3 linked regions of the Canis lupus familiaris genome follow. The protein of the gene in region 1 purifies or fractionates together with the protein of each later gene. This does not show direct contact. Links are inferred from orthologs where the notes say so. Each region holds a gene or a part of one and is shown in the gene's direction. Other genes may lie near its edges.

What was found.
Region 2: the proteins of SAP30 (region 1) and BRMS1L purify together in Homo sapiens (affinity purification with mass spectrometry; 4 studies listed by BioGRID and IntAct, with this or other methods). This does not show direct contact. The link is inferred for Canis lupus familiaris from reciprocal best matches to the Homo sapiens genes SAP30 and BRMS1L.
Region 3: the proteins of SAP30 (region 1) and SAP130 purify together in Homo sapiens (affinity purification with mass spectrometry; 4 studies listed by BioGRID and IntAct, with this or other methods). This does not show direct contact. The link is inferred for Canis lupus familiaris from reciprocal best matches to the Homo sapiens genes SAP30 and SAP130.

The regions. Positions count from the first base shown.
Region 1 is NC_049246.1:24,123,685-24,128,228, forward strand, and holds the end of SAP30 (histone deacetylase complex subunit SAP30), read left to right. Parts: intron 1-126; coding exon 127-252; intron 253-674; coding exon 675-773; intron 774-3,322; coding exon 3,323-3,445; 3' UTR 3,446-3,660; downstream 3,661-4,544. UniProt on the Homo sapiens protein: Involved in the functional recruitment of the Sin3-histone deacetylase complex (HDAC) to a specific subset of N-CoR corepressor complexes. Capable of transcription repression by N-CoR.
Region 2 is NC_049229.1:14,676,781-14,681,506, forward strand, and holds the end of BRMS1L (breast cancer metastasis-suppressor 1-like protein), read left to right. Parts: intron 1-220; coding exon 221-368; intron 369-2,092; coding exon 2,093-2,210; 3' UTR 2,211-3,698; downstream 3,699-4,726. UniProt on the Homo sapiens protein: Involved in the histone deacetylase (HDAC1)-dependent transcriptional repression activity. When overexpressed in lung cancer cell line that lacks p53/TP53 expression, inhibits cell growth.
Region 3 is NC_049240.1:24,027,084-24,031,087, forward strand, and holds the end of SAP130 (histone deacetylase complex subunit SAP130), read left to right. Parts: intron 1-1,091; coding exon 1,092-1,205; intron 1,206-1,692; coding exon 1,693-1,851; 3' UTR 1,852-2,633; downstream 2,634-4,004. UniProt on the Homo sapiens protein: Acts as a transcriptional repressor. May function in the assembly and/or enzymatic activity of the mSin3A corepressor complex or in mediating interactions between the complex and other regulatory complexes.

The DNA.
Region 1 (4,544 bases):
GCTGTTGTCTTAACAATGGCCTATTTTGACTTTTTATTTTTAATAATTCACTGTGCCCTATGTATTTTACTAATACGTAGACACGTTACATAATAATAAGTAGTCTGTGAAACTTTTTTGTTTTAGGCAAGGCATCTTTACATTTGTGATTATCATAAAAACTTAATTCAGAGTGTTCGAAACAGAAGAAAGAGAAAAGGGAGTGATGATGATGGAGGAGATTCACCTGTTCAAGATATCGATACGCCAGAGGTAAAGTTTCTGTATGTTAAATGTAAATCCTAAGTATTCCATTCTGAAACTTCTATTAAAAGATAGGAACAAATTTTAAAAATACTTAATGCGAAAAATCTGAAAATGAAAGCAAAATTAAATATAGCCAATTAATAGGCAGTTGTAGTTTGACTTATGTTTTCAATTCACAATGCTTATACCTCTATTGCCTTCTTTTTTTGCTCCCAGTTCTCAGTATTTACCTTCAAAAGATTGAAGTGCTCTATATATTTGTAGTTTTGATTATGTAAAAGAAGTAATGGAATGGAATTAATTAAATAATGTAATTTTTGTTACTTAATTACATTTTTGTTGTACCAAAATTGAAATGCTATTATGCATATCAAAGATAACAATTTAAAAATTGCATGAACTAATTCTTACATGTTTATTTTTTCTAGGTTGATTTATACCAATTACAAGTAAATACACTTCGGAGATACAAAAGACACTTCAAACTATCAACCAGACCAGGACTTAATAAAGCACAACTTGTTGAGGTATTTATGAAGTTTTAAATGAGCCTGTTTATATAAAAAAGTTATTAAAGGCTAATGAAATTGTTAATGTAGTACGTATAACAATACAGCTCAGTTAGAAAGATCAGTTAATAAAAAATCTATTGTGGAAGAATCTAGTTTCCTAGAAATGTTTGTCTGTCTCTTAAATTGCTTTATGTAACAACCACTCAGTGGATTGTATGTAGCTTTCTAAATATCTTTTAATACTGGCTTTCAGAAATAGCGGGTAATAATTTTTAAATTCTCATTCTAGAAATCTGTTGGTTTTAAAATTCCACTCAGGAAGCATTTTTTGAATACCTTATTGAGGCATAATAAAAGAAATTGATAAGCTTTGTTGTCTTTATTATAAATTTTTTGAGTTTTTGATGGATTAGGTCTACAGATTAGCCCATAAATAGTATTCCTATAACTTGTTGATTTAACGATTTCAGAATTTGTCTTTGGTGATGTTAGCTTGTTTTATTAGAGGCATCTATGCCTTCACATCTGGAAGATGCAAAGTTTTTTTTTTTTTTTTAAGAGTTTATTTATTTACTTGAGAGAGATCTGAGAGAGAGAGCATGAGCAGGGAGAAGAGCAAAGGGAGGAGACACAGACTTCCTGCTGAGCCGGGAGCCTGATGGCAGCTCAGTGAGAGGGACTCGGGACTCTGGTATCATGACCTGAGCTGAAGGGATACATTTCATTAGCTCCACCACATAGGCACCCCAGATGCAAAGACTTTTATCCAAGGTTTTATTTAGTTTGCTTTGATATAAAACTTTTAGTCTTTTTGTAAATTTTGAAATATGTGTGTTTTCAGGAGTTAATAAAGAACCAAGAAATCTGTGAATCAAGGCATTTACAGATTTATGTATTTGTACTTTAATCATTTTAAGTAAAAATACTTAATCTACTCAACAGAATAGAAATGTAAATATATAAGTCAGTTTTCTCATATTTTTCAGCTTGTGTTTAGTAATGCAGTGTTTTTTAAAATGCGCATATCGAATAAGGTAAAAGATACAGAAGGTACAATTCTTTGGCAGAATGCTTTTTTAACATCGTTAAGATATAATATACTGACTTTTTAGCCAGAATTTCCTCTTTCCTTCTTGCCCAAGCAACAAAAATTCAGTTTTTCTTTAAATTTGATTTAAAAAATATAGCCCTTTTTGGATTGTATAGTATATTAATAAAAGATAAACATGGGTATTTACTGTGATGAAACTGTATCTATATATATACAGATACTAATCAAGTGGAAGGTACCTTTGTTTTGGGACAAATGTGAACTCAAAAACTGATTATTTTAAATGTTACATATGAAGTACAATTGACTCTTGAACAATGCATTTTTGACTAGGGGCATAGTCAAAAATCTGCATATAACTTTTGACTCCCCAAAAACTTAACTACTTACTCATAGCCTATTATTGATTGGAAGCTTTTTTAATAACATAGTCTGTTAGCATATTTTATATGTCATATGTGTTATAGTTATTCTTACTGTAATCTCAATAAAGTAGGCTAAGGAAAAGAAAATGTTAAGAAAATCGTATGAAAGAGAAAATACATCTACAATACTGTATTTATTGAAAAAAAAGTGTGTAAGTGGACCCTCACAGTTCAAACCTGTGTTGTACAGGGTCAGTAATACATATTTTTTAAGTATACTAGTCACACCTGAAATATTTGATAATCTGATATTTAAAAAGTTATATTATTTCTAGAGTTACTTTCTTCTTTAGAAATGAGAAAAAAATCCAAATGGCCATGAATGTTAATAGTTCACTTAGGAATGATTCCAGAGTTAGGTAACTGTCTTCCTTAAATCTCTTAATTATCGTATGAATAACATTTTCATTAAGACTTTTTTTGTCTTTACATTCTAGATAGGCATATCAATACCCCTGTTTAGTCCATTGTACTTCTCTTGGTTTTGTAGTGTTAGATTAGCATAAAGAAAAAGCCAGAAAGCAGATAAACATTCTTCAGCGAATGTCTCTCTTTCCTCGCATTTTCTATCCATATTTATTCAGACAAACTTTCAAGGAACCTTAACAGAGAGTACTGCCAATGAATGAATGAATATAAATTGTAGCAAATATATTTGTAAGATATTCTATGGTTTGTTTCTACAGTACCAACAGTTTTTCAACTTAAATATTTATTTATCCTTTTCCTGTGAGTAGGGTCTAGATTTTGTTTTATTTCATTCATATTTAAAGTTTTAAAATATTTACTTTTTAATATAGATTCTAGTTATAAAATTTAAATAAATAAAAGGAAATAACACATTCTAATGTCTTTTTAATTGAGTAGGTTGGAGGGTCCTGTGAAATCACCCTCTCTCTTGTTCGTAATATCTTAATTATATGCTTTTCATCTTGTTGGTATTTTGTAAATAGTTTATTATTTAAAGGAAATAGCTCTTATAGCACTTTTTCTTTTGATAAAAGTGTTTTTTACCTAGTATAATAACTGTTAATATCTATAATTTAATTTCAATTTCAATTTTTTGTTTGTTTGTTTTGTTTTTTTAGATAGTTGGTTGCCACTTTAGGTCTATTCCAGTGAATGAAAAAGACACCTTAACATATTTCATCTACTCAGTGAAGAATGACAAGAACAAATCAGATCTCAAGGTTGATAGTGGTGTTCACTAGGAGAGGTGGAATTGAGACTAAGACTTGGATGTTCAGATGTTAAGACTGTTTACTGTTTTTTCACATGTAGAAATGTTCCTTGTGTATTTTTTTACAGAGGATTTTCTCTGGTTTTATTTTCTTTGTTTCTGACTCTAATAATTAGTTGGAAACTCGTGTAAAATGAGCTTTCCTAGATTAAAAAAATATTTTAAATAAAGGTGATTACTATTATAGTTGTTTCAGTGTATTTATTTTGTGAAATTTGATTTTTTTAAAACTAGTTTTAATTAAGAGTTTAATGTAAAGATCACTTTGTTCCCACATTTTATTTTTAATTTTAAATTTCAAGAAATGAAGGTTAAGAGAAGTAGCAAATGCAGCACATTTGCTTTCTCTGGGACAATCTCATTTGGAATTAAAAATTAGCATTATTTTTTAAAGTGCTTTTTGGTGATAACAGGTTTGAAAAATAGACTTCCACTGGAGTGCAGTTTCTTTTTTATTTCCTTTTTTTAAAATCATTACTTGATAAAGTTAGGAAGATCAAAGGATTTAATTTATATGCCTACCTTCTTCCAACAAAGACTAATGTGCCAGCAAAGATAAACACAGTGCTGAAAGTTGAAATAATGTAGAATTAGTTTTACTTGTTTCTTTAAGTTTTATCTTAGAGAAAAGGTGTTTATACGGCATGAACATAGAAGTTCTGCAGCACCCTTTAATTTTCAGTCATGTCCTGTACTGTTTACATTGCAAAGTAAAACTAGTATGTTGAGAGATATAGAAATTTAATAAGATCTTTAAATTTTGGTTCAGATATAGCTCTGACTTGATTTATATTCTACTTTTGTTTACATTTCATCCTCTATCAGTTTTCTATTAAAGTTCTCATAATTGCAAATCAAATTTATAGCTTATGACATCAAAACAACAACAGCTTTAGTTAATATGCTTGATCATGGTGCAGATTTTAGGCTGAAAATGGATCAGAACATTAATGTAGCTCAAGATTTCTCTCAAAGGTTGATATTTGGGCCTGATAATTCTTTACCATGGGAGGCTGTCCTGTGTGTTGTAGTTTTAGCAGCATCATTGCAGTCCACAGTAGAGCACTCTG
Region 2 (4,726 bases), on another chromosome or scaffold:
ACTTGCCTAGTTAATTAATGGTTTATTGTACATTGTATAGCTTCATTTTGTAGTTATATTAAAAACTTTGTGAATTATATAGGAAATGAAGAAATTCTCTTGTTTCTGTCATTTACCTTTGTTATCTAAAATATTTTTAGTGGTTTTTTTTCACATATATGCATGGACTGGTGTTAATGTTCTGCACTTTTGTTCTGACAATATCTTATTAATATAACAGTTTTTGAACTGATCCCTTTAGCACCTGTGAAACTGGAAAAACATTTACATAGTGCTAGATCTGAAGAAGGAAGATTATATTATGATGGTGAATGGTATATACGTGGACAAACAATATGTATTGATAAAAAAGATGAATGTCCTACAAGGTAAAAATTATCATTCAGTTTTGCTCAGTATTATAGTTTATAACACTGTTGTCAATAAATATTTGCCCCCTCTGTAGTGCATTCATAATACACCATTCATTAGTTGCTTAAAGATCCTTTTCTCTTGGCATATGATTTGGTTAGCATGTGTGTATACCAGTGTTAATATTTGTAGACTAATGTCACGTATTAAGTTCTTGAGCACAAGCATTAACACAAGAAGAAATGTTGGAATTATTTAGCCAGGTAAGTAGTGCTATTTGTTCTTAAAGTAGATGATGAATTGTTAGGATTTTAATATTATGATCTTTAAACCAGCCTGTTAGGCATTTTGGGTGGACATATTAATCGTTAACTTTTTTTGCATGTGTTACAGTATGTATCAATTAGAGTAGGAAAGGAATGTAAATTAACGAAAATACCCTAAGAGTCCCAGGAATTACAGTATAATTTGAAAACTGAAAGCTGCCTTTTTAAAAGGCTCAATCTGTCTAAGCTTAAATAAGGTTTACATAATTATATAGCCTTCTAAGTTTTTGTGTTTTTTTAGAGATTTTATTTTTTTAAGTAATCTCTACACCCATTATGGGGCTCAGATCCACAGCCCTGAGATCAAGAGTCCCATATTCCACTGACTGAACCAACCAAGTGCCGCTATAGCCTTCTAAGTTTTAACTGGTTGTAGCCTTTGGAAAATATTAATGCTAATTACTGCTTTTGTTCCTTCAGTAGTTTAGGATTTAATTCTGAGTGATAGCCTTCTTCAGTAAGAAAGTATCTTTTTCTAGGTATGAATGGTTAATGCAGTGTTTTCTATTTAAAGAAGAATACTCATTTTCCAAATACAGTAGTTTTACTTGGACTGTAATTTCATCTGTAAAGTTTTAGGATACTAGAAGTATTGTGTATAGTAATTTTCCTCATAGAAGCCCACTGAGCTAATTCCTAGGTTCTATGTGATACCCCTAGATCTTTTGCTTTATCTTATTGCTTTTAAGACATTTTACTGATTACTTAGCATGTGATTTAAAAAGAGATGAAATAGTACAAGAGGATTAAACACAAATCTATTTTTAAAAATATCTCTACATAAAGATAAAGTAGTGTCAAAAAGAATCCATGTAAGTACCAAAAAATGGTTTGACACCGGGAATTACGAATACCAATTAGGAATTGGTATTTTTAAGATTTCCTACACTGGGTGTTATACGTAAATGATGAGTCACTAAATTCAATTCCTGAAACCAATATTACACTATGTGTTAGCTAACTGAAATTTAAATAAGAACTTAAAATAAGTGGATACTCTGGAAAACTAAAGCATTTAAAAAAATAATTTAAAAAACTGGAATATTTCCTACAGCTGGGGGTGATATAAATTGGAGGTGTAAAAGTATATAATTAGTGTTTTTGGCTCCAATGTGTGTTTTGGGGGATGGGTTGGTGTGGGAATGTAGTAGAAACAGTGTGCATTTAATAGTTCTAAGAGTAAATAAGACCAATTCTATTAAGGAAAGAAAGGAGACTGTCTCTTAAGTGTTGCCGACTCTGGTGTTTTTGACCGCGTGCCCTGCTGGTAGTGCAGCATTGTGGTAAATGACAATTATGTACCTGAATCCACTCTTGCAGTCCAGCTATTCTGATTTTATGGCTTATACTCTAAAATGAGTGGTGGAGGTGTACTGCAATTCATTCATTCATTCCTTTTTTCCCCCCCTTTTTAGTGCTGTAATTACAACAATTAACCATGATGAAGTTTGGTTTAAGAGGCCTGATGGAAGCAAATCTAAGCTTTACATTTCACAGCTACAGAAAGGAAAATATTCAATTAAACATTCATAATCATGATTTAAGTGTTATCTAAAGCTACCTTATTAGTGTTATCAAGTGTGATGTGCCATGGGAGTTAAAAATGTATTCAATAACTTAATATTCTCATCAAATCATGAGAGACTGTATTTGTAGGTAGTACTCTAAGTAGACTTCATATTGATATGTCAATGAGACAGTAATAAAAACTTAATCATGATCATTACATTTATTTGCCTTTTAGGTCCAATGACCAATAGGTATATACGGTAGAGGTTTCTTACTAAATTTTTTGTTTTTTAAAAACATTATGCAAATCTGTCTTATCTTTAGTGAACTCTGTTGCTAAATGGCTATATTTGTCTGCAGTTTCTTTGATTTTTCACATCTTTGTCATTTACTGTGTTTGTAAATAAGCCTGATAAAATGTTTCTTATAAATGGTTTGTACTAGTACATTAGTGTTAAATCAGAATTGAGATTTAAACATATATACGTGAGTATGTATATATGGCATCATCAGCTAATTTAGAACTGATGGCCTTTCTTTACAATCTTGTTTTACCCAAAATTAAGCTATTGGGTTTGAAAGCTTAAAGGGAGCACTTTTGTAGACTAGCAGCTTTCTTTCTCCTCTTCCTTGATTGTATGGTGGTGACCTATTTTTACAAATTATACTTAATGTTAATTAGTAAAATTAGCATCAAGTAATAACAAGCTTCTACCTGTATTTCTTGTGAACTTTAGAGGGCAGGTATTTATGCCTGGTATTTATGATGCAGTATATAAGTGGTGAATAGTAACTGACAGTATTGTGGTGCTTGCTGTACATGTCTGATCTTTTGAAACAGATTTTTAGTAAGCATTTTCCAGAGGTAAAACTAGGTTCTTATCTTAATTTTATTCCTAGGGCAAACTAGACAGGGATAATTTTCTTGAATCTATTCCCAAATTAATATTTTTATCTTTGGTGTTTCTACACTTTAATAAGGCCACTTGGTGCAATTTAGAAAGTATTGACCTCTCTTCCTTTAGCCACATGCAAAATTAATTTCTAAAACCTCAGGAACAGTACAAAGAATTGAAACCCTCAATATGGCAGCACAATTGGCTGTAGTATATATTAGGGTACAACCAAATCAAGTTTTCCTGGTGGTCTTGTGCACTTTAATTTCTGTTATAATGAGACTGAAGAGGATGAGAAAGAGAGCTACTTATTAACACTTAGGGCAGGAATATCTGCATTATTCCGTTTGTTTTCTTACTCTTTTACCTCTGCAAACATCTTCCTGTGCAGATCACTACTTCACAGTTGCCAAATGTTGAAATATTTGACTTCTGAAACTCGTTATCAGCAAAGTTATATACTTTGTTCTGTTTCTAATTAACCTTAGCAAATGTACATAATGTCATAATCCAATAGTATTTGACAGTACTTATGTATACAATGTTTCATAAGCATTTTTAATAAGATTTGTATTTTTAAATTTAGTATATAATAAAAAGATGTGTTTGAGTGTCATTTGTAGTGTCTTGAATTACTCCTGTGTAAATTCTCAATAACTTGTTCACTTCTACGAATGATTTGAGCCAATTTACATTAATAGGTACAGAGAGTTGTAAGTATTGAACAAATGTTTCTGCTTCTCTAAGCCACAATTCAACCTCTGTTGGGGTATATTTAGATATTCAAGATGGCCAAGTTATGCTTTATTTAAAAATATGCACATATGTTATACTTTAATAAAAATGCACTGTATATGTTCTGAGATTCTAAATAGAAAATCTTTATTTTAAGAAGTATGATTTAGTGCATTAACTTTCAAAACGTCTACAACTGTAATCATCTATAAAGTACTATAAAATAAAGTACTACAAAGTACTATAAAATATATTTTTAAATTTCATATTGGCAGTTTGCCATTAGATTCTGATCAAAAGGTTTTAGGATTGTTAGAATCTGTGAAGTGTGATATTATCAGTTGCTGTTGCTATCGTTATGTTTACAATCAGCCTGTTTTAGGATCAATTTATGGTCCTTTCCTGCCACAGCTCAGTATTTCATAGTCAGCCCACCATTTCTTGCCATTTCCCATTTAAAAAACACCCCACCAATCACTAATCCAATGCATCACTAATAATTATTAGCGAATTAAGAGCACAGTCCTCATTCTCTCCCATTGGTGGCTTGGGCTCTGAGTACTTTTCGTTGCAGCCTTTTTCATATGAAGGTTGTTCTGATACACAGATTATTCCTCAGAACTGAAACATGGAGCACCTGGGTTAAGCATCTGCCTTCGGCACAGGTCATGATCCTGGGGTCCTGGGATCAAGTCCCACGTTGGGCTCCCTGCTCTCTCTGCTTCTCCCGCTCCTTCTGTCCCTCCCCCTCCTTGTGCCCTCTCTCTCTCTCTCTCTCTCTCTAATAAATGAAGAAAATCTTAAAAAATAAAACAATGAGGCTAATGCTTAAAAAAATTTCAAACACCACTTAGAGAATTGTGTACATCTCACTGATAATTATTTAAAAAGAACAGGGACATTGGCTGT
Region 3 (4,004 bases), on another chromosome or scaffold:
TTCTAGCAGTTATGTCCTGCTGAAGAGGGGAACAGATGCTGGAGGCATCTCAGTTCTAGAGTGTTCCCTTTTGAGTAATTCTGAAGCATGACCAATTAACGTGGGTCATGCAGAATTTATATGTATAATTTATGATATAATATCATAATTATTATATCTATCCCATAGATACAATCCAAACATATCTTAGTCTGGTACCCAGAACCAAAGTACATTGAACAATAAGACCTACAGTTAAGGTTCAATATTTTGTATTGCTGTGAATCTAAAACAGAGAGACTCAAATGGCCTAACTGTAAACCCTTGCTCCCCACCATACTCCTTATCACAGGGACCAGGCTCAACTCCCACTGCTTCTTGATTATTGGGCTTTAGGTCCCTGCCAGTTTACAATATTATTCAAATAAACTGTCACATTCCCATGGTAACCAGGGGACACCTCTCCCTCCCAATACTACAAAACCTGCCTCCTATAGCCCCTGCTTGTTCACTCTGTTCCTGAGTGCAGCCCCTGCATGGCCTTGCGTGCTGTGTGGTGTCCTCCTCCCCTGGGCTGTGACTATATTGACTAGTACACTGCTATTGATCTCATGTGTCCAGTGTTGGGGGGTGTTTCTGTTTCCATAATCCTAGGGCAGGAATCCTTCCCTCACCATGGAGGTGAAGGGGGAGCAATCAAAACAACAACCTCATGAAGTTTTTCCATCTTTGGAGTAGCAGTGATCTGAAGAACATTGTTATGAGTATCTAAGAAAAAAAAAGTAGTGCCATGGCTACTTATTGTACCTTGGAAAAAGCATGTTTCTATGAAACCTTTAGACTTATTTTTTTAGAGCAGTTATAAATTCAGGGAAGTATTTAAAAGTTATCCTTGAAGATGGACCCTATATTATGACAGATTGTTCTATTAATCGTTGTTGATAATTTCCCTTGCTGTACATTAATGCCCTAGTCCTCAGGAGAAGGGATTCTATCACCCAAACAGCCCTCATACCAGTTTACAGGAGTGATTCAACATGGGTGCATTTGCCTGAGGTTAGCAAGGAAGAGTATCTCTGAGGCCATCATACCCTTCCTCTTATGTGTTGCAGACAAATCTAGAACATGATGTTTATGAAAGACTCACCAACCTACAAGAAGGGATTATCCCAAAGAAAAAAGCAGCAACTGATGATGATCTACACCGAATAAATGAACTGATACAGGTTTGACTTAGCCGTTTTCCCTCTGATCATCCAGTTTATGGGATTGTCACTGTACAGTCTTACTTCTCCCATTTCCCTCCCTTTCACTAACATCTTGAGTAAAAACCTACTATTTGGGATGCCTGGGTGGCTCAGTCGGTTGAACATCTAATTCTTGGTTTTGGCTCAGGTCACAATCTCAGGTCATGGGATCGAGCCCTGCATTGGGCTCCCATGCATTGGGCAGGGAGTCTGCTTAAAATTCTCTCCCTCTCCCTCTGTTCCTCCCACACACTCACCCACCCCCTAGCTCATGCACACTTGCTCTCTAAAATAAATACATCATTTAAAAGAAAAAACAAACTACTTTAGCTTGCATTACTAAGAAAGACCAAAACATTTTTTCCATGTGGAAGCCTCAAAATGGTGTCATTCTATAAGTGAAAAGTTTTTTTGAAAGCCTGGTGGTCTCCTGATTACTGATTGGTTATGATGTTTTATGTTGCAGGGAAATATGCAGCGGTGTAAACTTGTGATGGACCAGATCAGTGAGGCTAGAGACTCCATGCTTAAGGTTTTAGATCATAAAGACCGTGTCCTGAAGCTTCTAAACAAGAACGGGACTGTCAAGAAGGTGTCGAAATTGAAGCGAAAGGAAAAAGTCTAGACCCAGAAGAATCAAGACTTTGAAAACAGAATTTATGAAGAATGATGGTAGGGGTGGGGGGAGGGTTTTGGTTATTCTCAAAATGGAACATTGAAATAAAGGAAGTGTTCCTTAATTCACACAAGAAAGCAGAGGGACCCAGTGGCACAAACGGATCAGAGCTGTTCTGGCGCAGTGAACTCCATTCTCTCTTTCAGGCGTATCCCTCTTAAACTCGCTGTGTCATAAATGACTCCTGATGCATCAGTGTCTGCCAGTTAGAATCAGTGACACAAATGAATGGCTGGTGGTTTTCAGCCTTCTGGTTTATAAACTGTATTTATCTGATGGATTCCTGCAGGACCCATACTGAGCCCGGACTGAAAGTATCCACTTGGACCATCTGTTATCTCTCTACACTGAACATCAAACCTCTTCCCCTCATCCCAGCCGGTTCTTACTCTGTCTGACCTTCAAATGCCTGAGCTGGCCTTTTACAGCAGTGCCATGGCATCGAGAGACTTGCCACATCTCACACTCTAGAGGGTTTGAACTATTAATTCTTGTCATTTTTTTTTAAAGAACCATTTCAAAGTGAAATTGTTATATCGTCTGTCCCACGTGTGTCAGAGTTGGGTTTTTGTGGAGGTTCAGAGCAGGCAACATCTGAAGTTGCTCTGAGATCCTTGTTCTGAAGTACGTTCTTGGTTATTTGTACTTCTGTAGCTGTGTGATGCTGTTAATTGTATGTACCGCACATCTCCAAATGTTAATAAAGGACTCAAAGAGGTTTTTGTACATGAGCAGTTTGCATCTTTTTTATAAAGCAAATCAGTGCTGTGCTGATCACCATGTGAGTGTATATCCTACTGTAATTTCTTACACATTGTTGAGAGTCTACTCTGCTAAAGTTTTGTTATTCCACATAAATGGGTTCCATTTATCCTGGTATTTTGAAGCTGTCACAATGGTTAAGTCTGTTGGCTCTTGGTTATCTTAAGTATAAAACTATTTTGTCCCATTGCAGCTATAAATTGGTCAAATTATAGGACAATTAAGGCTGCAGGAGTTGGGGTGGAGCTGCCACAGAGGGTGGAATTTCTTCACCAGGTTACACTTGCTTCTTCTGAGCTACCTAAATGGTATAGTCTAGGCTTGCTTCCTTTGAGTATAAGCAGGCATCCTTCTCCTTCTAGCTGAATGTTCTTCCTTAGACCTTGTGGTGCCAACTCTGCCTGGAGCTCTCCTCTTTGCTCTGACCTGAGTAGATTTAAGACAAGGAGTCTGTGCCAGTTCTGACCAGGTCTCAGGGACCAGCGCTCTTACTCACCTGAAACAGACTTCTGCCCTGTGTGCCCTAGGCTAGGAGGTCCTAGAAATAATCATGGCTGCTTCACTAGAATGTTTCACTGAGATATAGAGCCAACCTTAAAAGGTGTTATTGGTTGTTTTTGCTAAACACCAGTCTAGTGTGCTAGACTGTTAGAAGAATGTTCTTTTGCCTCCGTTTTTCCTGTGCACACTACTGCCCCAGTCATCTCATGTGGTGTGCTGGCTATGATTCAGGTACTTGGGATCCCACATTATTGACCTGTATTCTCTAAAAGTCACCGCAATTTAAACAAAATTTAGATAACCCTGGTCAAAGGAAGCTTTTCAATGTAGCTTAGAACAATAGCATTTTCAGTATTTCCTTGCCTTAAACAGAAGTTGGGAGAGTCTTGTCTGCATACACTGTGTTGTTTAAAAACAGCTTTATTGAGGATTAACCTACAATAAACTAAACATCTCAAAGTATATAGTATGATAAGATTCGATGCATATGCATGCCCATTTCACCATCACCAGTCAGGGCGTGGACATCTCCATCAGTCCCAGTGGTTTCTCCTTGTGCCTCTGATTTCTTCTCCTTGCCCCTACCTGCTTCCCCATCTTCAGATAAACATTATTCTGCTTTCTATCACTAGATTAGTTTGCATTGTTTGGAATTGTATGAGTGAAATCATACAATGTATTCTTTAAAGGAGAGACTGTGGTTTCTGTGACTCAGCATAATGGAAATTTATCCTGAGATGTATCCTTTTTTTAGAGTTCATTACTTTTTGTTATTGAGTACCAAGCTCTCCACTGCATGGATGTTCTACAGGTTTATCCATTCACCTGTAGAAAGACAT